Linked DNA regions of Rattus norvegicus. The protein of the gene in region 1 binds, or shares a complex with, the protein of each later gene. Links are inferred from orthologs where the notes say so. Each region holds a gene or a part of one and is shown in the gene's direction. Other genes may lie near its edges.

Region 1 (4,222 bases):
GGGTCTGGAGAAGGGCTATCTATATAGAGGAACCGGACACGGAATCGGCAGCTGGCACTGGTGGCTGGAAGACGGGAGTCCCTGCAGCCGTTGCCACCACAGCACGGTTGGTTGGTGGGTTAAGGGCATAATCGGGTTTTCTAGTCTTTAAGACCACCCTAAATGGGCCATCAACCACACCCCAAATCTCCTTTGGCCCTTACCCAGAACACAGAAGTGCGAGCCCTGAGCTAGGGGGTCTTTCGGTAAGCCCCGGGTCCCCTCCCCTGTCTGCACGAACGCGGCAACCATGAGTACCGCCTAAGGGGGCTTTGCTTGATTTTCCGCAGTGCACTACCGAGACCTTTATTCATACTGCGTCACCACCCACATAAACAGAGCGAGCCCTGACTGCGTCACATTAGGCCACTCTAGGTGTAATGGGGATGGGGGACATTGACAGTATTTGCCGAGCCATCCCCGACAAACAGCAAACGTAAACATCAAAAAGAGAAAAAAAAACTACCCGGAGCATTTAAATAACAAATTGCGTGTTTACATTCCGCACTTCCTCACCCCCCCTCCCCTTCCGGTGGGCTCACGACCACCTGTCGCATTTTATAGTGCTTGCCTCTACCCCCTTTCCTTGTATCCTAAAGCCTCCTTTTCCTGGCTTGGAGATGAATATGGATAATTGGCCTGAGTGTAGGGTCTTTAGATAAAAGATTCGCCGCATACTAGGGTAATCTGGGGTGATAAAGCCCTCCTGCAGTCCCTCCTCCCGTCCAGAAGAATCAGATGGGGAGGGAGGCTTTCAGCTCCTGTACTCTAACAGGCCAATGCCCACGTCTTGCGTCACGTGTCCCAGCAACGCAAGAGAGCTCGCGCTCTCTCTGGCTAGAGAAAAAGCGAGGAAGAGAGACTCGGAATCAGTCCGGGAGAGAAGAGGACGGAGCTGAACGTCCCTACGAGGCCTCCGCTCATCCGCCCCCTTACCCAAAGTCGGGAGCAGCTGGCACCCGGAGCCAGCTCCCAGAGCCGGCTCAGCACTGAGACCGGCGTCCTCTGGCGGCAGAGAAAGAGTTCTACTTACGATTTTCGAGACGAATCGGCACGCTCTTGGATGCCAAGAAGGCGGAGCTAAAGTAGACCAAAGTAAGAAGAGAGCACAAAAAAGTTCCTAAAGTTGCTGGCCGACCACAGCCCGAAGGGGTAAAGGTAACTTGGAAGGTGCCAGACCTCGCCAGCAAGAGATGACTCGCTTCAGCCATGGCCATGGGTTCTAGTCCCGGATCACCGATCCTTACGAAGGTTGGAAACTGAGGCTGGAGAACTTTCCAGCCAAAACTTGAATTTTTTTAAAAAATATATTTTTTTTCACCCTAGTTTGGCTGGGTGCTCCGTCTTACGGGGCCCCAAATTTATTTTGAAAGCCGCCACCGTGTTATGGGCATGCTCAACTGCCTCCACGGCAATAATATGTCAGGACAACACGATATCCCCCCTGAAGTCGGGGACCAGCCCGAGCAAGAACCTTTGGAAGCCCAAGGGGCCGCTGCCCCCGGTGCTGGGGTTGGCCCAGCCGAAGAAATGGAGACCGAACCGTCTAACAATGAGCCCATCCCCGACGAGACTGACAGTGAGGTCTGTGGACCCCCTGAAGACTCCAAATCTGACATCCAGAGCCCCAGTCAGGCCTTCGAGGAAGTCCAAGTGGGCGGAGACTACAGCCCACCTCCAGAGGAAGCCATGCCATTCGAGATCCAACAGCCCAGCCTGGGAGATTTCTGGCCCACCCTGGAGCAGCCTGGACCATCTGGGACCCCATCAGGCATCAAAGCCTTCAACCCAGCGATTTTGGAGCCCGGGACCCCCACTGGTGCACACCCAGGCCTGGGAGCCTATAGCCCCCCACCAGAAGAAGCTATGCCATTTGAGTTCAATGAGCCTGCCCAGGAAGACCGTTGCCAGCCTCCCTTGCAAGTCCCAGACCTTGCGCCAGGGGGTCCGGAAGCATGGGTCTCCAGAGCTCTTCCCGCGGAGCCCGGGAACCTCGGATTTGAAAACACTGGCTTCCGAGAAGACTACAGCCCTCCACCTGAAGAATCTGTGCCATTTCAGCTCGATGGAGAAGAATTCGGGGGCGATAGCCCACCCCCAGGACTCCCGCGAGTCACGCCACAAATCGGCATTGGCGGCGAGTTCCCGACAGTCGCGGTCCCGAGTACGCTCTGCCTCGCTCCCGCCGCGAACGCGCCTCCCCTCTGGGTCCAGGGCGCCATTGGCAGACCATTCCGCGAGGCTGTCAGATCTCCTAACTTCGCATACGACATTTCCCCAATGGAGATCACCAGACCCCTGCTTGAGATTGGCAGAGCCTCCACTGGGGTCGACGACGACACCGCTGTCAATATGGACAGCCCCCCAATCGCAAGTGATGGCCCGCCCATCGAAGTCTCGGGAGCCCCAGTTAAGAGCGAGCACGCAAAGAGACCCCCACTTGAGCGACAAGCAGCCGAGACAGGAAACAGCCCTATCAGCAGCACCACTGCAGAGGAGGCAAAAGTCCCCTCCCTCGAGCGAGGAGAAGGATCCCCCACCCAACCTGAAACAGTGCATATCAAGCCAGCTCCTGTTGCGGAGTCCGGAACGGACTCTTCCAAAGCCGATCCGGACTCAGCTACACACGCAGTTCTTCAGATCGGTCCTGAGGAAGTCGGAGGAGTCCCAACCATGCCCACCGATCTTCCGCCTGCTTCTGAAGATGCGGGCCCAGATGTCCGGGCAGAACCAGACGGAGGGACAGCCCCAGCCACCCCTGCCGAGTCCGAAGACAACAGAGAACCAGCCGCCGCCGCCGCCGCCGAGCCAGCCGCCGAGCCAGCCGCTGAGCCAGCCGCCGAGCCAGCCGCCGAGCCAGCCGCCGAGCCAGCTGCCGAGGCAGTCCCTGACACCGAAGCCGAGTCTGCCTCCGGGGCAGTCCCCGACACCCAAGAGGAGCCCGCAGCCGCGGCAGCCTCTGCCACGCCGGCGGAGCCTGCCGCCCGGGCAGCCCCCGTCACCCCTACGGAGCCCGCTACCCGGGCTGTCCCTTCTGCCAGAGCCCATCCAGCCGCCGGGGCTGTCCCTGGAGCCTCAGCGATGTCAGCCGCTGCTAGGGCAGCCGCCGCTAGAGCAGCCTATGCAGGTCCTCTGGTCTGGGGAGCCAGGTCACTCTCGGCTACTCCAGCCGCTCGGGCATCCCTCCCTGCCCGCGCAGCAGCTGCCGCCCGAGCAGCCTCTGCTGCCCGCGCAGTCGCTGCCGGCCGGTCAGCCTCTGCCGCCCCAAGCAGGGCCCATCTTAGACCCCCCAGCCCGGAGATCCAGGTTGCTGACCCGCCTACTCCGCGGCCTGCTCCGCGGCCGAGTGCCTGGCCTGACAAATACGAACGTGGCCGAAGCTGCTGCAGGTATGAGGCTGCGTCCGGCATCTGCGAGATCGAGTCCTCCAGCGATGAGTCGGAAGAAGGGGCCACTGGCTGCTTCCAGTGGCTTCTGCGGCGAAACCGCCGCCCTGGCCAGCCCCGGAGCCACACAGTCGGGAGCAACCCGGTCCGCAACTTCTTCGCCCGAGCCTTCGGAAGCTGCTTCGGTCTATCTGAGTGTACCCGATCACGATCCCTCAGCCCCGGGAAGGCCAAGGATCCTATGGAAGAGAGGCGCAAACAGATGCGCAAAGAAGCCATGGAGATGCGAGAGCAGAAGCGCGCAGATAAGAAACGCAGCAAGCTCATCGACAAGCAACTGGAGGAGGAGAAGATGGACTACATGTGTACACACCGCCTGCTGCTTCTAGGTAATGCCGCAGCTTCTGCCCCTGGGCAGTAGGGCCACCCCGGGCACCCGGGGAGGGGGTGGTAGGGCCTTCCGGTGGGGCTTGGGCCTTGCCCGTGGGAGGAGGGGTCTGGATACCCTGTTAGAAGTTCCAGGGAGGGACCCCAACTCTGCCCTGGGGTGGGAAAGGGGCCTTTTGGAGTGTTCGGGTGGCCGAACTGTATGCCCTCCAGGGAGAAAAGTGGTGCCGAGCGACACTGAGGGTCGTTACCGGCCGGAGGCCAGCGCCAGCGCCAGCGATCCTAGGCTGGACAGGCGGGGGCGTGAGGTGAGCCCAGAACTGCTGGGGTGGGCCCTTCGGGGCTCCCCCGGCTCGATTGTTCGTGACCGCGGTGGGCTAGGGCCATCGGGGTGCGCGCCCCCGCCTCGC
Region 2 (3,500 bases), on another chromosome or scaffold:
GAAAGTGCATTTTTTAAATAAGTGAATCAATAAAATCTGTAAGAAAAACACACACCAGGAGAGACCTTTTCAAAGGGACAAGTGGGACCACTGTGGGACGTGAAGTGCCGATTGCCGCTCTCTGTATCTCAGATCTCTGTGGCTTCTCAGAAGCTATGCACAGCTTTGGACAGGGGGACAGCCTATCAGGCTGACATCTTTTAATCTAGACCACAGGGGTGAGGGGACCCCAGAATGGCTGACTAAGCCAGCAGCGGGTCTCAACCTTCCTAATGCTGTGGCCCTTTGATACAGTTCCTCTGGCTGTGGTGAGCCCGACCGTAACATCATTGTTATTGCTACTTCAGAACTGTAAGTTTGGTGCTGTTGTGAATTGTAATGTAAACATCTGTGTTAAGGTCTCACGCTCTACAACTATGAGGCCTGGAGTTCAGGTCCCAGCACCTGTGTATGACAGAAGGTGGCCATGTCTCCATCCCAAAAGCTCTCAAAAGTTACTAGTGGAGCAGAGCTATGAACTCCCTCTCCCCCTCCCTCTTTCCCTTCTCTTTCCTCCCCCTCCTCCTCTCCCTTCTCCTCCCCCTCCTTTCCCCTCCCCTCTGGTGCAATCCCTCTTAGTTTTGTGTTTTTTTGTTTTTTTTTTAAAGATTTATTTATTTATTATATATAAGTACACTGTAGCTGTCTTCAGATACACCAGAAGAGGGCATCAGATCTCTTTACAGATGGTTGTGAGCCACCATGTGGTTGCTGGGAATTGAACTCATGACCTCTGGAAGAGCAGTCGGGTGCTCTTAACCGCTGAGCCATCTCTCCAGCCCAAAATTACTTATTTAGTTTTTTTTTTTTCCGGAGCTGGGGATCAAACCCAGGGCCTTGCGCCCGCTAGGCAAGCGCTCTACCGCTGAGCTAAATCCCCAACCCTGTTTTGTGTTTTACACTGTGTCTAGGTTTCCTCATGAAATCACACTCCATCGCCCAGGTAGTAGCTGATGCTGCCTTCCCAACTGAGCTCTTAATACCCACCCAGCTCATCGTTAAGCTTTTATAATGCTGTGTAAGAACTCTTAAACCAGCTGCAATCCCACTCTGTCAACGAAGGGCACCGTCTGAAAACGCAGCAGGCCTTTTAATCTCTAGGCAAGCATTTGCACGTCTCCACAAGCTGAGACAGCTGCAGGGTCACAAGGCCATGCACCTCATGGCACCATCATGCCGTGCTTTGCAGACTGAGACCTCTCCTGTAGTGCTGTATTCCTATCAACGCCGTCCCTTAATTGCAATGGCATAAAAGAGAAGGCTAGGGAATATCGCTCAGTATAGAGCAATTGCCCGACAAGAACAAGGTCCTGGGTTCAGTCTCTCATCAGGAGGGAAAGTGGAGCAAAATTCCTTCTTTTTCTTTGTCTTTAATTGTGTGTATATATGTGTATATGCGAGAGTGTCTGTACATATAAATGCAGTTGCCCAAAGAGGCCAGAAGAGGGTGTCAGGTTCCCTGGAACTAGAATGGTGTGATGGACAGCTTTGCACCATCCAGTGGGGGTCCTAAGAACCAAACTCAAGTCATCTAGAAGAATAGTAAGGGCTCTCACCCACCGAACCATCTTTCTAGCCTCAAAGATAAATCTCTGGATGTTGAAAGTACTTACATGTCATTTTTCTCATTTTGTGTAAACACGTATTTGGCCATCGGATATGTGCTACAAGCATGTCAATAAATGAAAATTCCTCTCAGAATGGTGCTAAATAGGTTCCCGATTTTTAAAAGTCTATCTGACATTCCTTATGATTTTTTTAGTATTAAGTATCATAAGTCATATAGTCTAAGGATAAAAATATAAAAAAATAGTTCAGAAAATACTTGTAAATAATCATTAAGAGGGGCTGCAGGAGAAAGAGCTCAGTCACTGAGTGCCCCCCTGTGCAAGGAGGAGGACCTGAGTTAGTCTACTGGGGCGAGGCAAGGTCTCTTCTGGACCCAGAACTCATAACTTGGCCAGGGTGGAAGCCAGCCCCAATGACCATCCTCCATCTGATACCCTGGGACGGAGGGTTACAAGCATTTGTGGAGACACCCAACTTGTTACATAGGTGCTAGAATCTGAACTCCAGTGTCCATAGTTGTAGAGCATGAGAACTTAACCTCCGAGCCATCCCTCAGGCTCTCCCCAACCCACCCTGAAAAGGACCTGAATTTGATCCCCAGAATTCATGTGGAAAAGTTGGAACATGGGGGTACACACCTGTAATCCTAGCATTGTGCAGCCAGGGGCAGGCAGATTCCTGTAGCTTAGCTATGGCCAGCTAGCATAGCCTAATTGGTGAGCCCCAGGGTTCAGAGAGAGACCGTCTCAAAAGACTATACATGGTTTCTGGGAAACAACATTGGGGATTGGCTCCTGGCCTCTATACATAGACAAACACAAATACTGTAAACCAGTGGGCATCTGGGAATTCCTACGGGCAGGAAAAGCACATAGTAACAGAACACTGACACATACTGACAGAACACTGTCCTTTCTTCTGTACTGCAGATACATGGCCATCATCCACCCTCTCCAGCCCCGGCTCTCAGCCACGGCTACCAAAGTGGTCATCTTTGTCATCTGGGTCCTGGCTCTCCTGCTGGCCTTTCCACAAGGCTACTACTCCACCACAGAGACCATGCCCAGCAGAGTCGTGTGCATGATCGAGTGGCCGGAGCATCCCAACAGGACTTATGAGAAAGCGTGAGTAGAGATTTGCCTGTCTTGTGATCGGCTCGGAAGCCGCTTGGTGCTGTGCAGAACCTTGTCCTGACCTCTCCCCATTTTCCTTCTATATTCTTGCATCAGTGAGGGTTTCACACATGTCTGCCTGACTTCCTCACATCCACTTCTCTGACACGGTGTTGATACATCTACCACTATTAGGGGGATGGCGTCCCCAGTACGGCGATTAAGGATAGTTAAGACCTAGTTGCCATTACAGATGCATCCCAGGATTCTGGAGCAGCAGACCCTTGGGTGCTCCACCATCTCTCTTGGGCCTTTTGTGTAAGACACTTCCCTGCTAGGATCTACATTTCTGTGATGTCACTGTACCAGGCACAGTATGCTGGGAGGTGGGAATGTCTCCACTCCAGTCTCTCTCAGCAGTGGCCTGCTCCTCTCCCCTCTGGTACAATCCCTCTGCAGCTTGTGTCTCACACCGTCTGCAATTTCCTAAGGAATCTAAGTGGCTATTGCTCCCGTGGTAGCTGGTACCCTAGGACGTATGTTATAGACTACCCCTCTTTCCTATAAACCACAGCTCTACTCCCTGCCCCCTTTCTCCCTCCTAAACAATGCCACTGCCCTTGACTCTCTTAGCTCATAAGCTGCCTCTAAGGAAGCGTCAATCCGAAGCCCTTTCGGAGTTTAGGAGTTTACGGTGTGAGAACTGAGACATCCCGATCAGATGCGAGCATGGGAGGCCTTTTAGTGTCTAGGGGTTGCAGAACACATACAAGCAGGCCT
Region 3 (4,257 bases), on another chromosome or scaffold:
GGGTCCCTGAGGCATCTCTTTTTCTTGAGAAGTCCCTAGAATTCCTTCAAGCCTGTCCCTAAGTCTCCCCCTCCTTTCTTGGAATCGCAGCAGCCCTTCTCAGGCCAGTGCAGTTTACTGAGCTCCCTGTGTGGCCATTTCTTTCTGGGCTCACAGCCGGCTCACATTGTTCCCCAAGGCTTTTCCACTTCCATGGAACTGCAGGCATTCCTCTGGCCTCACTGTGCGAGCTGGGCACAGGGCTTTCTTTCCAAGTGCTCTCCAACAGCCCCACCCCTACGGCTCCCTCCCAATTGCTTCCCTCCAACAGCTGCCTCTTCCAACAACGATTCTTGGACAGTGGCTTAAGCAAAGAACACATTTCGCTACTATAGGAGCAAGATTGCAGAGTTCCTTCAGCAGCTCTGTGTCAACAAAGTCCTAAGCTGCAGCCTCTGTGGTTTTCTTGACATTCCTAACTACGTCCAAACTACCATCGTACTCCAAACACCCCTTCTTCACTCCCTTTCAGGAGTACGGTAGAGGGAAAGGGTGATTTTCATAGCTTGGCATCTTTGCCACAGGGGAAGAATGAGTGCTTTTGAACCCCACAGCCTCTTTCTGGCCACAGTTTTGTCCCAGAACCATCAAAGAGGTCCCAGATAATGAGATTTCTCAGAGTGTTCAAGACATGTTCGGAATAAGACTTGTATAAGTCACCCTGTTTTGGTTAAACTCTGGTATCTAAACTCCACAAGATCAGAGGTTTTCTTCCCCTCTGGTTTATCAACAGTGGAATCTCTGATATTCATAATAATGCCAGGAATCCAGCAACTAGTCCCTGGCAGAATGTGAGGACCGCAGGAACGCATGAGTGAATACATGGTCCTGATGGTGTGATGGGTGTCCACCACCCCCAGCAGCTTCTACTCCAGTCTGACCAGCATGGTGTTCCTAGGTGACCTCTGATCATCTTGATCTCTGACCTTGATCTTGTGTCTTCTTTTCTCCCAGGGAGGGAGCCATCACTGGAGGCTGCCCTTGTGCCAATGAGCTTTGCCAATACCTCCTCTACCTTCGAAGACAAGATGTGTGAGGGGAACAGGACAGCCATGGCCAGCCCTCAGCTGCTGCCCCTGGTGGTGGTTCTCAGTAGTATCTCCCTGGTCACAGTGGGCCTCAACCTGCTGGTGCTGTACGCTGTGCACAGTGAACGCAAGCTACACACCGTGGGCAACCTATACATTGTCAGCCTGTCTGTGGCAGACCTGATTGTAGGGGCAGTCGTCATGCCCATGAACATCCTCTATCTCATCATGACTAAGTGGTCCTTGGGCCGCCCCCTCTGCCTCTTTTGGCTTTCTATGGATTATGTGGCCAGCACAGCATCCATCTTTAGCGTCTTCATCCTGTGTATTGATCGCTACCGCTCCGTCCAGCAACCCCTCCGGTACCTGAGGTACCGAACCAAGACCCGGGCTTCCGCTACCATCCTGGGGGCCTGGTTCTTCTCCTTCCTGTGGGTTATACCCATACTTGGCTGGCATCACTTCATGCCCCCAGCCCCAGAGCTTCGGGAAGACAAGTGTGAGACAGACTTCTACAATGTCACTTGGTTCAAGATCATGACTGCTATTATTAACTTCTACCTCCCCACTTTGCTTATGCTGTGGTTCTATGTGAAGATCTACAAGGCTGTGCGGCGACACTGTCAGCACCGCCAGCTCACCAACGGGTCCCTCCCTTCCTTTTCAGAACTCAAGCTGAGGTCAGACGATACCAAGGAAGGTGCCAAGAAACCTGGGAGAGAGTCTCCCTGGGGGGTTCTGAAAAGGCCATCAAGAGACCCCAGTGTAGGACTGGATCAGAAGTCAACATCTGAAGACCCCAAGATGACCTCTCCAACTGTCTTCAGCCAAGAGGGGGAAAGGGAAACACGTCCCTGTTTCCGTCTCGACATCATGCAGAAACAGTCTATGGCTGAGGGAGATGTCAGGGGCTCAAAGGCCAATGATCAGGCCTTGAGCCAGCCCAAAATGGATGAGCAGAGCCTGAATACTTGTCGGCGGATCAGTGAGACATCAGAGGACCAGACCTTGGTGGATCAACAGTCCTTCTCCCGGACCACAGACTCAGACACAAGCATAGAGCCAGGGCCGGGCAGAGTCAAATCGAGAAGCGGGTCTAACAGTGGCCTGGATTACATCAAAATCACCTGGAAGAGGCTCCGCTCACACTCCAGACAGTATGTGTCCGGGCTGCACTTGAACCGAGAGCGGAAGGCAGCCAAGCAGTTGGGTTTTATCATGGCGGCCTTCATTCTCTGCTGGATTCCCTATTTCATCTTCTTCATGGTCATTGCCTTCTGCAAGAGCTGCTGCAGTGAACCCGTGCATATGTTCACCATTTGGCTGGGCTACATCAACTCCACGCTGAACCCCCTCATCTACCCCCTGTGCAACGAGAACTTCAAGAAGACATTCAAAAAGATTCTGCACATTCGTTCCTAAGGGCATACCAAAAGGATGCCACATAGTGGATAGACAACGTCTGATGTCCAAGAGGGAACCAGAGGAAGAAAGCATGGGTGTCACTAGACCCCTGAGCATTAGGAAGTGGAATCTAAGGTCCTGGGCTGAGCAGTCTGGAGGCATTCCCAGGAGCTGTCAGAAGGAAAGCAGGCAGCAGAGCGATTGTGCTCTGGGTAGAATGCAGAGCATCTGAAGGAGACCCAGGCAGAGCATGCCTGGCCCTCAGGGACTGTGGGAGTCTCAGATACTCCGTGGAAGTCAAACTCTCTGACTTAAGTTTCTTGGTAACTGAAGTGGGAATGTGTGGCTATAGTTCTTCTGGAGGGTTAGCCTGGACTCAGACTTCCCGAACAAAAGCTGTGTGACTGCAGAGACATGCACACCGATGCTGTCCCCTTCCAGGGGTTACCTGGAGAGGCCTGGCAGCTGTTTCATTGCAGCCACACTTCTCAAAATGCAGTCCTTCCGAGCCGAGCCTCTCTTACAGCATTGTCCAGAGCTATGTGCCCCACCATGGAACTTGCCTTACCCGTGTCTCAGAGTTTCTAGGAAATTAGGCAGCTTGTGAGTCCATCATTTTCAACTCTTAGTTCTTTTGGGCTTTTAAAATGGCGGCAGCAACAACAACAACACAGTAACAAAAACTGTCCTCAAATGTCAAGAGGAGGAGGAAGAGACTTTTGAATGGTTCTATTTTAAGCAAAGGAAAGGCAAGACAGCCTTATTTCTTTAAGACTCCACCAGGGGGCTCTCACTCTAGGCCCCTGGCGTGACAAAGGAAAAGAGGTTCCTGGAATCATTTGATACTCACGTCAGAAACTCGGGATGAGAACTTTGTATGGCCTCAGTTCATCACTTCTCCAAAAGGGAAGAAATGTCCCCTGCCATGTACTCACAGTGTTCCCCAAGAGAAGTGACAGTGTCCCGAGTAACGGGCATGGAGCACACCTGTCCACAGAGGGTGACCCTCGGAAGGGACAAATGTGCTTTTCTCTATGAGACTGTGTGGTTTCTGGTCACACATGCTGAACGAATTCTGTTGAAATCATGGGAACGTCCAGTTTTATTTATGACAGAATCGAGTTGTGATTTATATTTTAAAATGTAATGTTGAACATCAATGAGTGTTGCAAGTAGGAACCCCTGTAAAAGCTGGCCTTTTGTGTCTGTGTTCCTGTTTGCATGACCTGTCCAAATGAGATATTTTTGCTTACCTAAAACACGACAACATTTGGAAGGTACTGTTATATGGCTGCTTTGTGTCTACTTTTCTGAGTCTCATAGGCTGGGGGAACAGGTGGAAACGAAAGCCTGACAAGGATTTCTGTCTGATTTCGACTCAAATTTATAAATGTCCTTTAATAGGACTTTTGTTTTTCTAGAACTTGGTGGGGAGCAAGACAGCCATGGCCAGCCCTCAGCTGCTGCCCCTGGTGGTGGTTCTAAGTGTTGTCTTACTCCTTCTTGCATCCTGGGACACTCTTCATGCTCAAGCTTTGGGGGTGGGGGTGTCTTAGGGTTATGCTGAGAAAGGAGCTTTGACTTGGGTATGACAAGGACAAGAAGTGAATAAACGTCAGCTAAGGAACACACAATGCCCTGTGACAGTGCTCAGAGTTTCCAACGCTTACACAGGAGTGCTTTCACATCAACCTAAAAATAAAACATTGGAGGCTGGAGTGATGGCTTGGTGGTTACGAACATTGCCTAATCATATAGAGGACCCAGGTTAAGTTCCCACCTCCTA
Region 4 (4,215 bases), on another chromosome or scaffold:
TTTTGATCAAGGGCTCTCACTTTGTACTCCAGGCTGACCTTCAATTTGCTCTGAAATCTCGGTTGGTCTTGAATTTGAGATCCTTCTGCCTTGGCCTTCCAGGTACTGCAATTCCAGGTCTGTGCTACTCCACCCTGCTGAGAAATATTCCTTCTATATAGAAACTTAATTTTTTTTCTGAGAAATATTCTTCCCATGAAGGTTAATTTTCTACATAGAAATATCTTACATAGAAATGCATTCTTCAATACATACACTGGCCAGCTTTTAATGGTATGAAGATTAAGACAATTAATATTAAAATGTCTTTAGCAGGGTCTGGTCCTTTACAGTTGTCCTAGTTTAGTTTAGTTTTGTTTTCAAGGCAGGTTTTCTCTGTAGCATGGCTGTCTGGGAACTCAGAGATCTGCCTGCTTCTGCCTCCTGAGTGCTGGGATTGACGGTGTGCACTACCACGACCACCATCTGGTCCTAAGCTTTTTGATAAAGCTGGGATAATTCTCCAAAATCCATCTTCATTTTGATGTTTGCAGATGTCAAATATTGTCTGGTTATTGTTGGGGTCCCAAGTTCTGACATGTGATATTTTTCTGCAGTACAGAGAATCGGCTAATAACAGTCTCTATTTAAAAGTTATTTTACAGGATGGAACTGTAACTTAACACACTAAGCATGCTATCACCACGATGCACAAGGACCTGGGTTCTAGACCCGTTAGGAACAAGAAGAAAAGTTACTTATTTCTCCTGTGCCAAGGTGTAAGTTCGTTTGTACCTCATACCAGAGTCCTACGGATTAGGCATTATTGAATGTAAAGGACTCAAAAGTTAGTAACCATTATCGTATGCATTTCTCATGTCTACATACTGAGGACTCTAAGCATCTACACACCCCTTTTAGGTAATTTATCTGAAATGATGATGGCAGAGCTGGTTCTCAAAACCACGTTGACTAAAGCAGTTAACTTTCTGTGGGGCTTTTGTAGCACTAAAGTTGCAGAACCAGCCGAAGCTGGAATTCCACTGGCACCTGCCGTTCAAGGTGGTGGCCAGACTCTCGGAGTTAATAGGCTTTTCCGCCAAGAGCTCAGGAAGTTACTCGCTAACCCCTGTCCCGGCGACAAGTCACTACAGAGCAGATCCCCGCGGCTAAGGCTCCTCGCTTCCAGAACCGAGTGTGCTCTGCAGGGCGCTTTCCCTAAGGCCCAGGACGGACGCCTGGGTCCGCTGTGCGAACGGAGGCGAGGGCTCGTCCGCCCCCGCACCACGCCTGGCTGGGCTGGGCGGGGCACAGGGCCGGTCCCGCCGCCGCGAGCCCCAACCTGCCCGCCCGACCTGGCGGCGCAGTCTCGCGGGATCGCCCAGCTCTCGCTCCCCGTGCGGCCCCGGAGGCGGTCGAAGCTCGGACGCTGCCCCCCGGCTGCCGGCACGCCGGGGCTGTCTGAAGTGGCGGGGCCGATCGACGCCAGAGACAGCCGCCACCGCCCCCGCCGCCCGAGGTGAGGCGTCCCCGGCCCGACGGGGCGGGCGGGCAGCGGCCGGGACCCGAGCCGCAGGTGCGTCGCCTTGGAGTCCCACGCAACTCCTGGGAAGTGACTCCGGGTCCCCGTAGGCCCGGGACGCTGCCGCTCAGCTGCAGGCCTGGAACAGGTGCCCCGACTCAGGACCCCGGGGTTCAGGGGAGCTGCCGGTGGGAGGTTTACGTGGGTGGAATTCGGGGTACAGGAGGGCACGGGATGAGCGCGTTGAAGGGGAAGGTGCTGGAGGTGAAGAACGATCGAAAAGGAGTCACCAAGCAGGCCCACTCTTTCCAGGGGACCTCGGTCAACCCTGGCAGGCTGATTCGCCTTGGCGGAAAAACAGGAAAAGCACATCCGCAGGAGACTGCTATTGTAGAGAGCGCTAAACTTGAAGAACTCTGTCTGGGTCTTAGGGAATCCACTTGTCCTCATGTTTCCCATGTGGTGAGATGACCAAGGGGCCCCTAAGTCCCCTTTCTTCCAACCACCGCACCCCTTTCCCAGTCCAACTTGTTTATGCCATGCCTCTCTTAACCAGTGTTTCAGACCCTCTAAACCTTCATCAGCAGTTCCCTAGAATTGAGGCTTCCTTAGCAAAATGATACATTCCGCACTCGGGCGGGTGGAAGTGTCTCTCTAGGATGGAATTTTCCACAGTTTTTTTCCCCCCAGCACCAGTTACCCAGCATGAAATTTGACTTGGATTTGATTTTGTGACAAATGTTGCAGATGACACACTTTGGGTTTGTTTTTACAGCAGTTGTCCCAGAACTCATTTTCAGGAAACGGCTTCTTTCAAAATGGTAAAAATAATGAAATGAGGAATTTGTCCATTTTATCTCCAATTTGAGAATCTTTTGATGCGGAAAGGAGCATAAGAGTAATCCAAGCCATGTGGTAATCGGAGTCTGGGGAAGATGGAAGCGTCCCCGTTTCTGTCGGCCTGCATTCTTCTGCCCCTCATAAGAGGGCACAGCCTTTTCACCTGTGAGCCAATCACTGTTCCCAGATGTATGAAAATGGCCTACAACATGACGTTTTTCCCTAACCTGATGGGTCATTATGACCAGGGCATTGCTGCTGTGGAAATGGAGGTGAGTGGATTTTCATGCCTATATTGAAAATTAGTTTATACGGAGTGTTTTTCTCTTAACTATTACCTTTTAATCTTTAAACGTAGTTTTTCCCCCAATCATATTTTTAAAAGTACTTTTGAAAATTAATTAAGCCCCCCTCCCGTTGACAATATTTGGGCTGCTAGTTAATTTGCTTAAAAAAAAAAGGTTGAGTTCATAATGAAGAATGGTTACAGATGAAAATGTTTTGCTTTTCAGAATTTGTGTCATTGCTTCTCTAAGACTGTGATTTCTGAATTTTTAAATTTTCAATGTTTATTTGTTTGGTTTTTCAAGGTAAGGTTTCTCCCGTGTAGTTCTGGCTGTCCAGGAACTCACTCTGTAGACCAGGCTGGACTCAAACTGAGATCCACTTGCCTCTGCCTCCCGAGGGCTGGGATTAAAAGTGTGCACTATCACACTCAGCCCAAATTCTGCATTTTTAAATGGTTGACTGAACATATAGTTTGTATTGCTTGAGCTAAAATGGAAGAAACTTGCATGTTTATACAAAGTACTTATAAATTTATTTGGCTTAGTTTTCCCAAAGTTAATAAATTACTGGAATGTTTTGGTGCTAAAGAGGGTGTTTTACTAAAAGATGACTTTCAGGCATAGCGTGTAAGCATGTTTTCTGTATATAAGATACTTGTTAAAGAAAGCTCACTTGTGGGGAAGGGCAGTGTGACACTAAAGATTGCCTCAGGTGCCTCAGTCAGCGACTCTGGATTAGAGATATGCAAATGTCCCAGGGAGATGTGGGAAGAAAGGGCTGCCTGTGGAGACAGGAACCTGCCCTGCCTCACAGATCTGTTTGGTTGATAAGTTTCATGAAGGAGAAAAAGAAAGAAGACAAGAGTGTAGGTTTTGTAATCTTTCTCTAGACAGGCTGAAGCCAGTCAAGGCTTTTCCTCAGATTGTCTCTGAGAGATGAAACCCCCAGAAGTGTAATCTAGATGGATTTTTTTAAACTGACCACATTTGATCTTGCAGCTTTGAAGGCCTTCCATTGTCTGCTCGAAGAGTTAGTTGTCTGACTACCTCTTTGTAGACTCCTGTCTGGGTAGGGCAGTTTTTAAATACTAAGATATAATTTTAAAAGGTTTACAAGTTGTAGGGTTTTAATCTTTCAGTAGTTTCTCCAAACCAGTGCAAAGTCCCCCTTCTTTTCCATCAGGTGGCAGGGCACAGAGCCCCTCAAATACAGCAAGGTCTCGCCCACTCAGCTACAGCCTCAGCCCTGCAAAGCGTTCTTTTGAACACTCAACAAAGGGTGCAGGGAGACTTCCATTGATTAATTAGAACCATGAGTGTATAGTGGATACCATCAGACAATAATTACAGTGTTCAGTCTGGTCGCCTGTGATGATAATGTTTTATAGTATATACTAAAGCAAGTGTTCGTAAAGCATCTTACTTTCATTTGGTTTCCTCTCTCTGTAGTAGCTATGTTCATTTTAGGCTTGAGTTCTAACAGTGACCTTAGAAAGTCATCACATGGGGTTGGGGATTTGGCTCAGTGGTAGAGCGCTTGCCTAGGAAGCGCAAGGTCCTGGGTTCAATCCCAGCCCCGAAAAATAG
Region 5 (4,134 bases), about 140 Mb from region 1:
TGTGTTTTCAGACTACAGCTGCGCTAAGGTAATGGAGTATGCCATTGGAAATCAGGAGACTGCTGTACTGTGTAAAAGTACTCAGAGGCAGAGTCCTCAGCATGCCTCCTGCTAGTAATTTAGTGTGCAAAGGCACTGGGAGGGGGAGGAACAGGAGTCACCTTAATTTATCTGTGAGTGACAGTGATTTAAATACAAAAAGCTCTGAGCCAGGAGGCTGTCCCTTCTGTGCTGCTGTTCTCTGCTTTGGTCTGTCACATACTGTTACTAGTCTCCTTGAACATGTTTCTGGGATCCTTACTTTCCTGAAGTAAAGTGTTCATGCTTCACTGAACTGTGATTGTAAGCATCCTTTGCCCACAGTAGGAAAGCATGTATAAAATAAATAAATAAAAATTCAAGTTGGATCACATAGTGCTTTGTTCAAGTATGTAGATCTCCTGGGATTATTACGGTTGCCAGCATTTGTTTTCTTTTACTCTACTGAGGGAGTGAGACTTTATTCAGGCAAAATTATATCATTCCCACAGTACCCAGTTATTAAAAAGCACCATTTATGACATTATCCAAAAAAAAATTAGTGTTATTTCAATTTGCATTATTTTAGGTAAGTAGAGACAAGATTGCACTATAAGATGCAAAGACTTGTACCTGAATACCTGTGTGCTGCCTCAGGTTGTCACTCCACTCAGGTGGAGCGCCTGACTGAACTGAGGGAGAGGCAAAACAGCACCATTTCCTAATATTATCCAATGTCCAATAAATGATCAAAGAAAATTGAGGCCGAATATTGTGTTTCAGCTGTAACTTCTTGTACAGCTGAATTATAATTCCTCGGTTGTCATGTACTGTTAACAAGCTTACTTTGTAGAACACTGTTCTTTGTTCTTGGGGAAATGGTACACAAAAATAGGACTTTCCCTCTCTCTCCTCTGGTACTGTGCTTCAGCCCAAAGCCTGACTCCTCCCTCTCTTCCCATCCCCTCCTTTTCTTCCTCCCTCTCCATCCCCACCTCTGCCCATTTTTCTTAATGGCAATCTGAATTCTGCTCATTTACCTACGAGGAAGATTCTAGACTGACAAGCAGCTTTCAAATACTGCACTGCAGGCACACCAAGTCAGTACCACTGTGCAGTCGGGAACGCTCCTCTCTGGGAATGAATGCTAATGAGCTGTCCAAGATGCTAGAGTGTATGTGCTTGGGCACACAGGTTTTCCTTCCCTACCCCCTTTCGTCCTTTTCCTAAGCCCCTTCTCTGTGCTTTCTCCTCCTACTTCTTTAACCCCTCCCTCTGTGCCTTAGTTCTGCAGTAGGCAGGCTTTAAGCAAGCACATTCCTGCATTGCAAGGCTTTCTGATAAGGATGTATTGTGGCTTTTGTTTGGATTTCAGCCTGCAGAATCACAGGTAACATTCTGAAATTGAGCTAAGCAGATAAATTATATTAAGGTGTTTGCAGAGATAAAGTAGTACATTGGAATTAGTGAAGAAAATTAATCTTGGTTAATTTTTTTCAGTGATAATATAGCCAAATGTTTTCAGGATTACCATAAGGAGATTCTCCTACAACAGGTTAAATAAAAGAAAATGAGGTTGGGTCTGTAATTTCTTTATGTTAATCTTGGAAATCCCCTTTATGGAGGGGACTGCTTAGGGTAAAGTGGGAGGGGTGCTGGCAGTCAGAGCTAGCTAGGTTCTTTGTCTAGGTTGTGGAATGCAAAATGTAAAATGCTCTTTCATTTTCTTCTATCAGCTGTTCAGAGGAGACTCATTACAACTCCTGCTGAAGCTCCTAATCTTCCTCCCTCTGCCCCTCCCCCACCCTCGTTTGCCCGAAGACACAGTCCCCAGTTTGCCTTACTTCCTTGCTATGTGTATGGTCAACCTGGCAGTGTGGATGCGTCTGGGACTGGCCAGACAACTGCTGTTGTCTCTCCCTATTCCAGGAAGAATTTAAAGGGGAATTGTACAGCAGGCAGTATACCCAGCACAGCAGCAACCCCAGGAACCTGGTGACTAGGGCTCCTGGCTTTGTCACAGGGATGCAAAGCTGACTGCAGGGACAGTAGCTACTCCTGGGAACAGCAGCCAGGTGGTAGCATGAAGTGAGAGCCAGTTCCTGAGCACGAGATGAACTCCACCTGGGATGGTAATCAGAGCAGCCATCCTTTCTGTCTTCTGGCACTGGGCTACTTGGAAACTGTCAGGTTCTGTCTTTTGGAAGTGCTGATCGTTGTCTTTCTAACTGTATTGATTATTTCTGGCAACATCATTGTGATTTTTGTGTTTCACTGTGCACCTCTGTTGAACCATCATTCTACAAGTTATTTTATCCAGACAATGGCATATGCTGACCTCTTGGTTGGGGTAAGCTGCCTGGTCCCTTCCTTATCACTCCTCTACTACCCTCTTCCGATGGAGGAGGCCATGACTTGCCAAGTATTTGGTTTCATAGTGTCAGTTCTGAAGAGCATCTCTATGGCTTCTCTGGCCTGTATCAGCATTGATAGATATATTGCCATCACTAAACCTTTAACCTATAATACCCTGGTTACTCCCTGGAGACTACGCCTCTGTATTTTTCTGATTTGGCTGTATTCTACCCTGGTCTTCCTGCCTTCCTTCTTTCACTGGGGTAAACCCGGATATCATGGAGATGTATTTCGGTGGTGTGCAGAGTCCTGGCACACCAACTCCTACTTCACATTGTTCATCGTGATGACGCTGTACGCCCCAGCTGCCCTCATTGTCTGCTTCACGTATTTCAACATCTTCCGAATCTGCCAGCAGCACACAAAAGAAATCAGCGAAAGGCAAGCCCGATTCAGCAGCCAGAATGGGGAGACTGGGGAAGCCCAAACCTGTCCAGATAAGCGCTATGCCATGGTCCTATTCCGAATCACCAGTGTGTTTTATGTCCTCTGGTTGCCGTACATCATCTACTTCTTGCTGGAGAGTTCTACTGGCTGCAGCAGCCGTCTTGCCTCCTTCCTGACTACCTGGCTTGCTATTAGTAACAGTTTCTGCAACTGTATCATTTACAGTCTCTCCAACAGTGTTTTCCAACAAGGACTAAAGGGCCTTTCAGAGTCTGTGTGTACTTCTTGTGCAAGTCACACCACAGCCAAGGACCCTTACACAGTTAGGAGCAAAGGACCCCTTAATGGATCTCATATCTGAGGGGGACTCATATATTCAGTCTCTCTGTTTTCAAGGAGAGAGGATGGCTTTGGTTCACTTTTTCCTTCCATCTCTGTGCTCCCAGTTCACTGGAGATGTAGGAGCAGCTACAAACTGTCCGGAGAACCTTCATAGTTTGCAGAAGTTGTTTTCTAAATGAGATTTAAAATTAGAAGAATCAGGATGATGGAAAAAAATCAATCTTGATCCAGTCTTTGAAATGTCATGGAAGTGACTATAGTTCTAAGATTCAAAAAGAGTAAAGCCATAGTTGATACCTCTCTCTCCCCTTTGGCATGCCTGAATCTGGATGTAAAAAGAGTCAGCATGTTTAAAAAAAAACAAAAACAAAAAACAAAAAACATTTTGTTGCCCCTTTATGGATTATTTCATGCAAGTTGCAATTTATATGCAATTCTAACAGGAAATATTAAAATATATTGATGAACTAGCAAGGATTTTCTTTATCTGTGCCAAAATATAACTGTACTGCAAGTTTCAACATTCATTTAGACAGTGAAATGTTTCGTTTTCTTGCCTCTTGAGAGAAATCTCCATAGGATAAATAATGAGAGCATTGGACATTGTTCTGTAGAGTTTTGAAATGGAGCAATTGTGCAGTGAAGTCACGCAGTGAGATCCAGGTGCTTTCCCCCCGTGTTTCTGAGCATTGTGAATGCGTGTGCAGCAGTGACAGTGCTCTTCCAGGGCTTCTGTCTGTGAATACTGAGAATCTATACACTGAGCTGGGTTTTTAATGACAAAATATTTAATCTAAATAAATAATAGATGGATAGCTGCCCAATTGTAATGTGAAAACATTTTTTTAAAGTGACTGTAGTGTTTTCTGTTCTTATCCAAAGTCTTCAAGGAAAACCGAGTTCGCTGATGCAGTCAGCCCAGGGTCAGTGTAAACTTGTCTGCCTTCTAAAGAGTCAGCTACTATCACAGCC
Region 6 (2,621 bases), on another chromosome or scaffold:
TCTTGATTGGCATATTGATATTCCAAGAAGGTATATTTCTTAGCCACAGTATAAATTTAGTTCTTGGATTAGATCTACAGCGTAACGTCCATTTGCCTCTGATGAGCCCCAAGCGTTATGTACATAAGTTTTGTTTGGGTCACAGCCGATAGTCTTTGGCAACAAGTTCTCTTTGCCCTTGCAGGTGCAAGTGACCCTGAAGCGTCAGTGGGCGCAGTTCAAGATCCAGTGGAGCCATCGCTGGGGTAGGCGCCGCCGCCCCACCAACCGAGTGGTTAGCGCTCCTCGTGCTGTAGCCTTTGCAGAACCAGGTGGCCTCCCCATTTACATCTGCCATCAGGAACCAAGGAATCCTCCAGTCAGCAACAACGAAGGCGAAGAGGGTACTGAAATGATCCCCATGAATGTCATCCAGCAAGACTCATCCGCTTGAATGCTTGAATGTGAAGCAACCCCCCAACATTGTGATCCACTGAGCCTTCATTTCCTGGGAGAACGATAGACCATGCGTTTCAAGTGATCCCCATCCTCCCAGGAGCTAAGCATATCATTTGTGAAGATGTATTAAGTGAATTTGTCCATAGTGAATTTGAAGAACGTTATTCTTGGTACTATTGCTTTGGGAGTCAGGCTAGGCTCTCAGTGCAACTTGTGAACTCCATTATTCATCTAGGACTGAGATGACAGTGTTCATAGGAATGTAGACAAGGTATCCAAAACTGCCACTAAATTGACCTAGTTCAGATAAGGGTGCTCCATGTTAATCTTGAGCCATTTGTACCTTTGAGAAACTAAAATCACTCTCAATGTTTTTAATTTTAACACTGGACTTTGAATTAGACTATTTCTGTATTTGGCTACGGATCTGGTTTTTAATGTTTTTATTTCAGTCAATTCCTATATTGCACATTTTTTCATCCATACAATGTCAACTGCACAAATAACATGACCTCTGGAAGATGCTGTGTCTTTTATAACATGATCCACGTCACCAGGCAGACCCAAATACTGTAAAGAATTGATCTGAATGTTGAGTGTGCTTTGGTCACTGACATTTATAAATTGGGAGGTCATCAAGAACCTATCACTAAATTTTTCACAAAACTGACCCCCCTCAAATGTAATTTTCCATCAAAGAGAACACTCTTTAAAGATAGTTTTCCACTTTCCTAAACTACAGGATTTATAAAGCAAATCATTCCAAGGTTTATAAAGCAGATTACCTCTTGCCCTTGGGTGCTATTTAGCAGTGAGGGATAGATTTGTTTACGACTGGTAATTAAAAGACTCCATTCAAGTCCATTAACTGCCTTCCACCCAGCTTCAAAGCTTGACAAGATCCCGTGTTTTCCAGGAAGACTCAGTGTGGCTAATTACAAATCAGTTTCTAGTTGACCTCTTGTTTGCTTCTATTAGCAAAACAAGGAGGGAAAAAAGCAAACCACAATGTAAGGACTTGGAGTTTAACCACATATTAGTTCATCTTAAATTAAAGACAAGCTTCTCACCAAAACTCAGTACCATATTTCCACGCCTCTCTTTACTCCCCAGAATGAGATCTTCCAAGATCCACAAATAAACCAATACCATTACCAATTTCTGAATCTGCAACTGCAATCAATTATCATTATTAATTTGTATGCTGAATGAGACGCATCCTTGAGACCCTTAAAAATCTCATCTCCTCTTTGTCATCTTGTGTCACTGCCTTTCAGAGGTGATTTAGTTGCGTAAAAACAAAAGTAACTTGATTTGTTCTGGTTACGTACTTGGTGCACCCAGAGAAAATTGTATTTCGCTAGCAGCTGTGGCCCTTGGATACTGAGAGTCTCCTTTACCAAAATGGGAGAATTGAAAGGAAGGATTTTTTTTCCAATCACAGTGTTACGTGGTGATGTTCCCATGTTTTGTTTACAAACATTGAAATCAGTGTATTTCAGGCAGCTCTGGTACAAATGTGATAGTGTATTGCTGAAGTGTTTGAGACGTTATTGTGCTTCTGTAGTAGGGGCTGATGAAATCAAACTGACTTATCATAGCATTGCATGTAATACCTAAATTGTGTGAAACACTTCTTCTGTGTACTTGTATAAATTAATACAAGCATGTTGAAAAGGCAAAGATGTTTGTTGGCATATTTTTCTAAAGAAATACATTGTCATCTTCCATTCATTCATTTTTGTCTCTGCTCATTCCACGCCTTCTTCATTTCACCCAGGAGCTACCAGCATCTCCATCTTGTTCATCTTATGGGAGGGAGGAAGAGCTAAAAGCTTAGGTTAGAGATGGCTTACATGAATACAATATCCTCATCTGTATTAGTGTAACCACTTTCAATCTAACGAGGTGGTACAGTTCTCACACCCTTGATGATATGAAACCATCCCAAACTGTCCATCTGTTATTAGATACCTTTGGGGATTCTAGCAAAGAAATCCAGGACAGGGACATAGAAGATCATTTTGTTCTGTGTTGGTTTTCATTATTCTGGAGCCAGACTTGATCTGTCCAACATTACCTCAGGTCATTGGAATTATTACAAGTTCCTAATATAATTTGAAAGAAAGATTAAGATTGAATTAAAGATAACTAATTAAATACCATTAAAATGCACAAAGGCC
Region 7 (4,093 bases), on another chromosome or scaffold:
TCCCGTCTAAAGTAGCCAATTCAGGCATCCCCCATCCCTCAAGACTATGAGCCAGCTGAGTCTCTCTCTCTCTCTCTCTCTCTCTCTCTCTCTCTCTCTCTCTCTCTCTCTCTCTCTCTCTTTCTCTCACTCTCTCTCGCTCTCTCTCTCTGCATCCCTGGAGCTATCTGTAACAGTGGAGCCAAGCACTGGCTGGGGAGGAGGCAGGAAGCGCCTACCATGTGTGTCACTTTATTTCACTTTGTCCAAACCGTGTACTGTGTGAAGGCCACAGCAGTGGCCCCGGTCCAGAGCTGTAATAGCAATGTGTAATCATTCCTTTTAGAGCCTTTTACAGAGTCAGCTGCTTTAGCTTTAGGCCCAAGTACAGCTGTTGGAGAGTCTGTCCGGTTACAAAAGAAAGAGACAAAATCTTGCAATTTACTGACAAACCAAAACACCTTTGAGCTAAAAGGGCGATTTATCTGGGCTGAAAATAAAACCCGTGCCTGTTGAAGTCTGGTGCAGCTGAGTTATCACTATTTCGGTCCTATAATTTGTTTTATAAGGTAGTAATTAACAGGGCAAAGTCTGTTGCCAGGAAAGTAAATCACATTTTGTTGCCGTTTTTTTCTTACAAGACACAGACCTTGTCTTAATCAAAGAGCAGTTGCAAGGGCAGCAGCAAGAGGCGAAGATATCAGTGGTGAAACCCGCAGGGGAGGGCTCAGGTATTCTGCAAGAGGATTCCTCAGGTAAATCTCTCAAAAAAGAAACCGTTTTCCGGTCTTGCCCTTCCTTCTGTCTTGTCTCTTCTCTCAGCTCAAGGTTTCTTCCCTCGAGCGGCACAGACGCTATAAACACTCTTACAAAGAGAACTTTTCTCTCTCTTCTTCCAGATGTCCCAACCACCCCTTCTCCGTGGCTTCTTCACCTCAGTGATCCTTGGCTCTGGCCTTTGCTGTGTGGCTTATTTTCACTCACCCCTCGCCTTCCTTTTCCAGCTCACCCTCCTTTGTCCAGCCTCGGAGTTCTCTTCAATCCTCTCTCCCTCTCCTCTCAGCCCCATCCCATTCCTGGAGGTATCTGGACTGGTGGAGACTCTGGCTTCTCCTTCCTTCTGGATCTCTCTGAAATGTTTCTGTGAGGGGTGGGGAGACGCCAAGAAGGATTGGCCTGGCCGGTGTGGCGAGTAAGCCACTGGAACCAGAACCCAGAGCCTGACGTCACCGGGCCCCGCCTGTCAATCTCGGGCAGGCGCGCAGCTCGCAGCCTGCCTTCTCTGCCACTGCCTCTCACTCGCAGCGACGGTGGCTCAGGGACAGGAGACCAGTACTTTCCTCTTCGACGCGGGGCAGCCTCCTGCAGGCAGCTGCTCGGACCGCGTAGGGCACACAGCCGCGGAGCGCATGACCAGAGACTCCCGGGAGCCCTGACTCCTCAGGTGAGCGGCGGGCTCCTAAGGGTTCTTTGAGCATGTGGGGAAGGCGAAAGGGTAAAAGGCAATCCCAGAGAGAGTCCATACCGGAGTCAGAGAATCGGAGCAAGAATTGACCACCGCACCCTAGCAGACTTCCCCCTTAGTCTTTCAATTTCCAGTTCAAGACCTGGGGTCTCTGGCTCCTTGAGATCCCAAACTTGGCTTTCAGAACCGCGGACAGCGGCTGTGCCCAGCTTAGTCTTGCAAAGAGATTGACTCTTATATTTGGATACTTGTGTACGGTAGTGCATAGTGGGATCTATCTATGCGCCTCTGCCAAAGCTCAGAAGCCCCATCTCTTTCGTTCATTCATTCATTCATTCATTCAACCAACAGGTGCTTATTTATTTGGGGTTCGCACTTTATCCCTGCTTCCCCCACTATGCTCCGTGCATACTCCTGAAGTAAGATATGCGATTTGAGTGAGGCAGTTATAACAGGGAAAGTTCCTCGGTAGTTTGGACAGAGCACCTGACAATCCGCGGTCCCTTTTATACAGGGAGCAGCATCTGGCGGCGATGAACGCTAGCGCCGCCGCGCTCAACGAGTCCCAGGTGGTGGCAGTAGCGGCCGAGGGAGCGGCAGCTGCGGCTACAGCAGCAGGGACACCGGACACCAGCGAATGGGGACCTCCGGCAGCATCCGCGGCGCTGGGAGGCGGCGGAGGACCTAACGGGTCACTGGAGCTGTCTTCGCAGCTGCCCGCAGGACCCTCAGGACTTCTGCTTTCGGCAGTGAATCCCTGGGATGTGCTGCTGTGCGTGTCGGGGACTGTGATCGCAGGCGAAAATGCGCTGGTGGTGGCGCTCATCGCATCCACTCCCGCGCTGCGCACGCCCATGTTTGTGCTCGTGGGTAGTCTGGCCACTGCTGACCTGCTGGCGGGCTGTGGCCTCATCCTACACTTCGTGTTCCAGTACGTGGTGCCCTCGGAGACTGTGAGCCTGCTCATGGTGGGCTTCCTGGTGGCGTCCTTCGCCGCCTCAGTCAGCAGCCTGCTCGCTATCACAGTGGACCGTTACCTGTCCCTTTACAACGCGCTCACCTACTACTCGCGCCGGACCCTGTTGGGCGTGCACCTCTTGCTAGCAGCCACCTGGACAGTGTCCCTCGGGTTGGGGTTGCTGCCCGTTCTAGGCTGGAACTGCTTGGCTGACCGCGCGTCCTGCAGCGTGGTGCGCCCCCTGACACGCAGCCATGTGGCGTTGCTCTCCACTTCCTTCTTTGTGGTCTTTGGCATCATGCTACACTTGTACGTGCGCATCTGCCAGGTGGTCTGGCGCCACGCCCACCAGATCGCTTTGCAACAGCACTGCCTAGCACCACCACACTTAGCAGCCACCAGAAAGGGTGTGGGAACTTTGGCCGTGGTGCTAGGCACTTTTGGGGCCAGCTGGCTGCCCTTCGCCATCTATTGTGTGGTGGGTAGCCAAGAGGACCCGGCCATCTACACCTATGCCACCCTGCTGCCTGCCACCTATAACTCCATGATCAATCCCATCATCTATGCCTTCCGCAACCAGGAGATCCAGCGTGCCTTGTGGCTCCTGTTCTGTGGCTGTTTCCAATCCAAAGTGCCCTTCCGCTCCAGGTCCCCCAGTGAGGTCTGAAGGGCTCCTCCGTGTCTCCTCACCCACATCACAAATCCAACATGCCGGCCTTTGGTGAGCTTCTAGGTGCCTGCTGATGAACTCTTGAGGACTCAGTGGTTCGGCGCGAGTCTGACTGCCCCGCAAAGGGACTGGATGTGAACGCAACAAACTGACTCAGACAAAGAGGCTTGTTGGCATTTTACATATACAGTGTATACACGTGTACATATATATACAAATATTTGTATCTTCTGGAGGTGTTCAGGGCCTGGAGCTTCCCGTTCTGTGAAAAAAACTAACAAAATGTGGTTGTATACTCAATCGTACATCACATTTGTCAAGTGAAGACATTCCAATACTGCTTAATAATAGCACTTTATTTTTAGCTGCTGAAATGCCAAGACAGTGTTGCCATCCCCAAGAGCAGGAGAAAGGGAGTCAGAGATGTATTTTTGTTGTATGTGATAGAATATTTTGCTGCACATGCATCAGTAAACTACAACATATTTTGTACACAAATAAACACATTATAAAAGTATGATCTTGGGTATGTGATAAATTGTGGCATTGTTTGGAATCTGAATTGTGAGTGTGTTTATTTTAAAAGTCTACTGCACATCTATCTATCATCTTGTCCCAGGGAGAGCCACATGAAATACCAGATCTAAACCATGGGATGAGGCAGTAACATTCATGAGTCATGGAGGAAGTAACATTCACACGTGGCATCCCCAGAACACGAGAAGGAAGGCTGTTACTGGTGCAAGTTAATGTGCTCTCTTGGTGGCCGGGTTGGGAAGACATGTTTCAGAGGTCAAAACAATTCAAGTCACATAGGCACAGGTGTAAACTCTGAAGCCACAACTTACCAGCATAACTTTACAAACATGCCAAGATTTCTCAACATGGCTTATTCAGACTGTTGCTACCCAGGTCTGGTAGCCAGGTGCAGAGCCCAATAAAACCAATAAAATTCTCCTAAAGCAGGATTCCCAGATCTTCATGGGGTAACTGAGGTGTGTCCCAGTGTCCTTTCTTCGGA

What was found.
Region 2: the proteins of Gnas (region 1) and Tacr1 are in contact, whole or in part, in a cryo-EM structure (PDB 7RMH), measured with the Homo sapiens proteins. The link is inferred for Rattus norvegicus from reciprocal best matches to the Homo sapiens genes GNAS and TACR1. Residues at the interface, in NP_000507.1 of Homo sapiens: Arg38, His41, Val217, Phe219, Tyr358, Phe376, Cys379, Arg380, Ile383, Gln384, Arg385, His387, Leu388, Gln390, Tyr391, Glu392, Leu393, Leu394; in NP_001049.1 of Homo sapiens: Met63, Thr67, Asn68, Asp129, Arg130, Ala133, Ile134, Ile135, Pro137, Leu138, Gln139, Pro140, Arg141, Leu223, Gln239, Ala242, Lys243, Val246, Met249, Leu308, Asn309, Phe312.
Region 3: the proteins of Gnas (region 1) and Hrh1 are in contact, whole or in part, in a cryo-EM structure (PDB 9LRB), measured with the Homo sapiens proteins. The link is inferred for Rattus norvegicus from reciprocal best matches to the Homo sapiens genes GNAS and HRH1. Residues at the interface, in NP_000507.1 of Homo sapiens: Gln35, Arg38, Ala39, His41, Lys216, Val217, Asn218, Phe376, Cys379, Arg380, Asp381, Ile383, Gln384, Arg385, His387, Leu388, Gln390, Tyr391, Glu392, Leu393, Leu394; in NP_000852.1 of Homo sapiens: Asp124, Arg125, Ser128, Val129, Gln130, Pro132, Leu133, Arg134, Leu136, Lys137, Arg139, Thr140, Ile213, Ala216, Val217, Gln219, His220, Cys221, His223, Lys412, Ala413, Gln416, Leu417, Cys471, Asn472.
Region 4: the proteins of Gnas (region 1) and Fzd6 are in contact, whole or in part, in a cryo-EM structure (PDB 8JHB), measured with the Homo sapiens proteins. The link is inferred for Rattus norvegicus from reciprocal best matches to the Homo sapiens genes GNAS and FZD6. Residues at the interface, in NP_000507.1 of Homo sapiens: Gln384, Leu388, Gln390, Tyr391, Glu392, Leu393, Leu394; in NP_001158087.1 of Homo sapiens: Arg226, Ala310, Lys314, Ser316, Cys317, Val396, Gln407, Lys409, Leu410, Phe413.
Region 5: the proteins of Gnas (region 1) and Gpr21 are in contact, whole or in part, in a cryo-EM structure (PDB 8HMV), measured with the Homo sapiens proteins. The link is inferred for Rattus norvegicus from reciprocal best matches to the Homo sapiens genes GNAS and GPR21. Residues at the interface, in NP_000507.1 of Homo sapiens: Gln35, Arg38, His41, Val217, Pro321, Asp323, Arg342, Asp343, Leu346, Arg347, Thr350, Tyr358, Cys359, Pro361, Phe376, Cys379, Arg380, Asp381, Ile383, Gln384, Arg385, His387, Leu388, Gln390, Tyr391, Glu392, Leu393, Leu394; in NP_005285.1 of Homo sapiens: His61, His62, Thr64, Arg127, Ala130, Ile131, Thr132, Pro134, Leu135, Thr136, Tyr137, Asn138, Thr142, Pro143, Ile214, Ile217, Cys218, His221, Thr222, Asp224, Ile225, Arg228, Gln229, Arg231, Phe232, Arg249, Tyr250, Val253, Leu254, Asn308.
Region 6: the proteins of Gnas (region 1) and Calcr are in contact, whole or in part, in a cryo-EM structure (PDB 7TYY), measured with the Homo sapiens proteins. The link is inferred for Rattus norvegicus from reciprocal best matches to the Homo sapiens genes GNAS and CALCR. Residues at the interface, in NP_000507.1 of Homo sapiens: Lys34, Gln35, Arg38, Ala39, His41, Val217, Phe219, Tyr358, Phe376, Cys379, Arg380, Asp381, Ile383, Gln384, Arg385, His387, Leu388, Gln390, Tyr391, Glu392, Leu393, Leu394; in NP_001158210.1 of Homo sapiens: Arg180, His184, Glu240, Tyr243, Leu244, Leu247, Ile248, Val249, Val250, Ala251, Val252, Phe253, Glu255, Lys256, Ile319, Val322, Leu323, Lys326, Met327, Glu329, Thr330, Lys340, Lys343, Ala344, Ile347, Leu348, Leu351, Tyr391, Asn395, Asn396.
Region 7: the proteins of Gnas (region 1) and Gpr6 are in contact, whole or in part, in a cryo-EM structure (PDB 8TYW), measured with the Homo sapiens proteins. The link is inferred for Rattus norvegicus from reciprocal best matches to the Homo sapiens genes GNAS and GPR6. Residues at the interface, in NP_000507.1 of Homo sapiens: Gln35, Arg38, His41, Val217, Phe219, Asp323, Asp343, Leu346, Ser349, Thr350, Arg356, Tyr358, Cys359, Phe376, Arg380, Asp381, Ile383, Gln384, Arg385, His387, Leu388, Gln390, Tyr391, Glu392, Leu393, Leu394; in NP_005275.1 of Homo sapiens: Met107, Asp165, Arg166, Ser169, Leu170, Ala173, Leu174, Thr175, Tyr176, Tyr177, Leu182, Ile248, Val252, Arg254, His255, Ala256, Gln258, Ile259, Leu261, Gln262, Gln263, His264, Lys276, Gly277, Thr280, Leu281, Arg332, Asn333, Gln334, Glu335.

The regions. Positions count from the first base shown.
Region 1 is NC_086021.1:183,501,821-183,506,042, forward strand, and holds the start of Gnas (GNAS), read left to right. Parts: upstream 1-1,422; 5' UTR 1,423-1,425; coding exon 1,426-3,814; intron 3,815-4,025; coding exon of another isoform or gene 4,026-4,222. UniProt on the Homo sapiens protein: Guanine nucleotide-binding proteins (G proteins) function as transducers in numerous signaling pathways controlled by G protein-coupled receptors (GPCRs).
Region 2 is NC_086022.1:116,569,117-116,572,616, forward strand, and holds part of Tacr1 (substance-P receptor), read left to right. Parts: intron 1-2,537; coding exon 2,538-2,732; intron 2,733-3,500. UniProt on the Homo sapiens protein: This is a receptor for the tachykinin neuropeptide substance P. It is probably associated with G proteins that activate a phosphatidylinositol-calcium second messenger system.
Region 3 is NC_086022.1:149,200,511-149,204,767, forward strand, and holds the end of Hrh1 (histamine H1 receptor), read left to right. Parts: intron 1-993; 5' UTR 994-1,028; coding exon 1,029-2,489; 3' UTR 2,490-3,757; downstream 3,758-4,257. UniProt on the Homo sapiens protein: G-protein-coupled receptor for histamine, a biogenic amine that functions as an immune modulator and a neurotransmitter.
Region 4 is NC_086025.1:71,938,558-71,942,772, forward strand, and holds the start of Fzd6 (frizzled-6 precursor), read left to right. Parts: upstream 1-1,415; 5' UTR 1,416-1,555; exon of another isoform or gene 1,556-1,649; intron 1,650-1,740; exon of another isoform or gene 1,741-2,276; 5' UTR 2,277-2,436; coding exon 2,437-2,613; intron 2,614-4,215. UniProt on the Homo sapiens protein: Receptor for Wnt proteins.
Region 5 is NC_086021.1:41,683,738-41,687,871, forward strand, and holds the start of Gpr21 (probable G-protein coupled receptor 21), read left to right. Parts: upstream 1-1,334; 5' UTR 1,335-1,408; intron 1,409-1,754; 5' UTR 1,755-2,131; coding exon 2,132-3,181; 3' UTR 3,182-4,134. UniProt on the Homo sapiens protein: Orphan receptor.
Region 6 is NC_086022.1:32,615,455-32,618,075, reverse strand, and holds the end of Calcr (calcitonin receptor isoform 1a precursor), read left to right. Parts: intron 1-184; coding exon 185-433; 3' UTR 434-2,121; downstream 2,122-2,621. UniProt on the Homo sapiens protein: G protein-coupled receptor activated by ligand peptides amylin (IAPP), calcitonin (CT/CALCA) and calcitonin gene-related peptide type 1 (CGRP1/CALCA).
Region 7 is NC_086038.1:46,072,452-46,076,544, reverse strand, and holds Gpr6 (G-protein coupled receptor 6), read left to right. Parts: upstream 1-1,293; 5' UTR 1,294-1,423; intron 1,424-1,958; 5' UTR 1,959-1,977; coding exon 1,978-3,069; 3' UTR 3,070-4,065; downstream 4,066-4,093. UniProt on the Homo sapiens protein: Orphan receptor with constitutive G(s) signaling activity that activate cyclic AMP. Promotes neurite outgrowth and blocks myelin inhibition in neurons.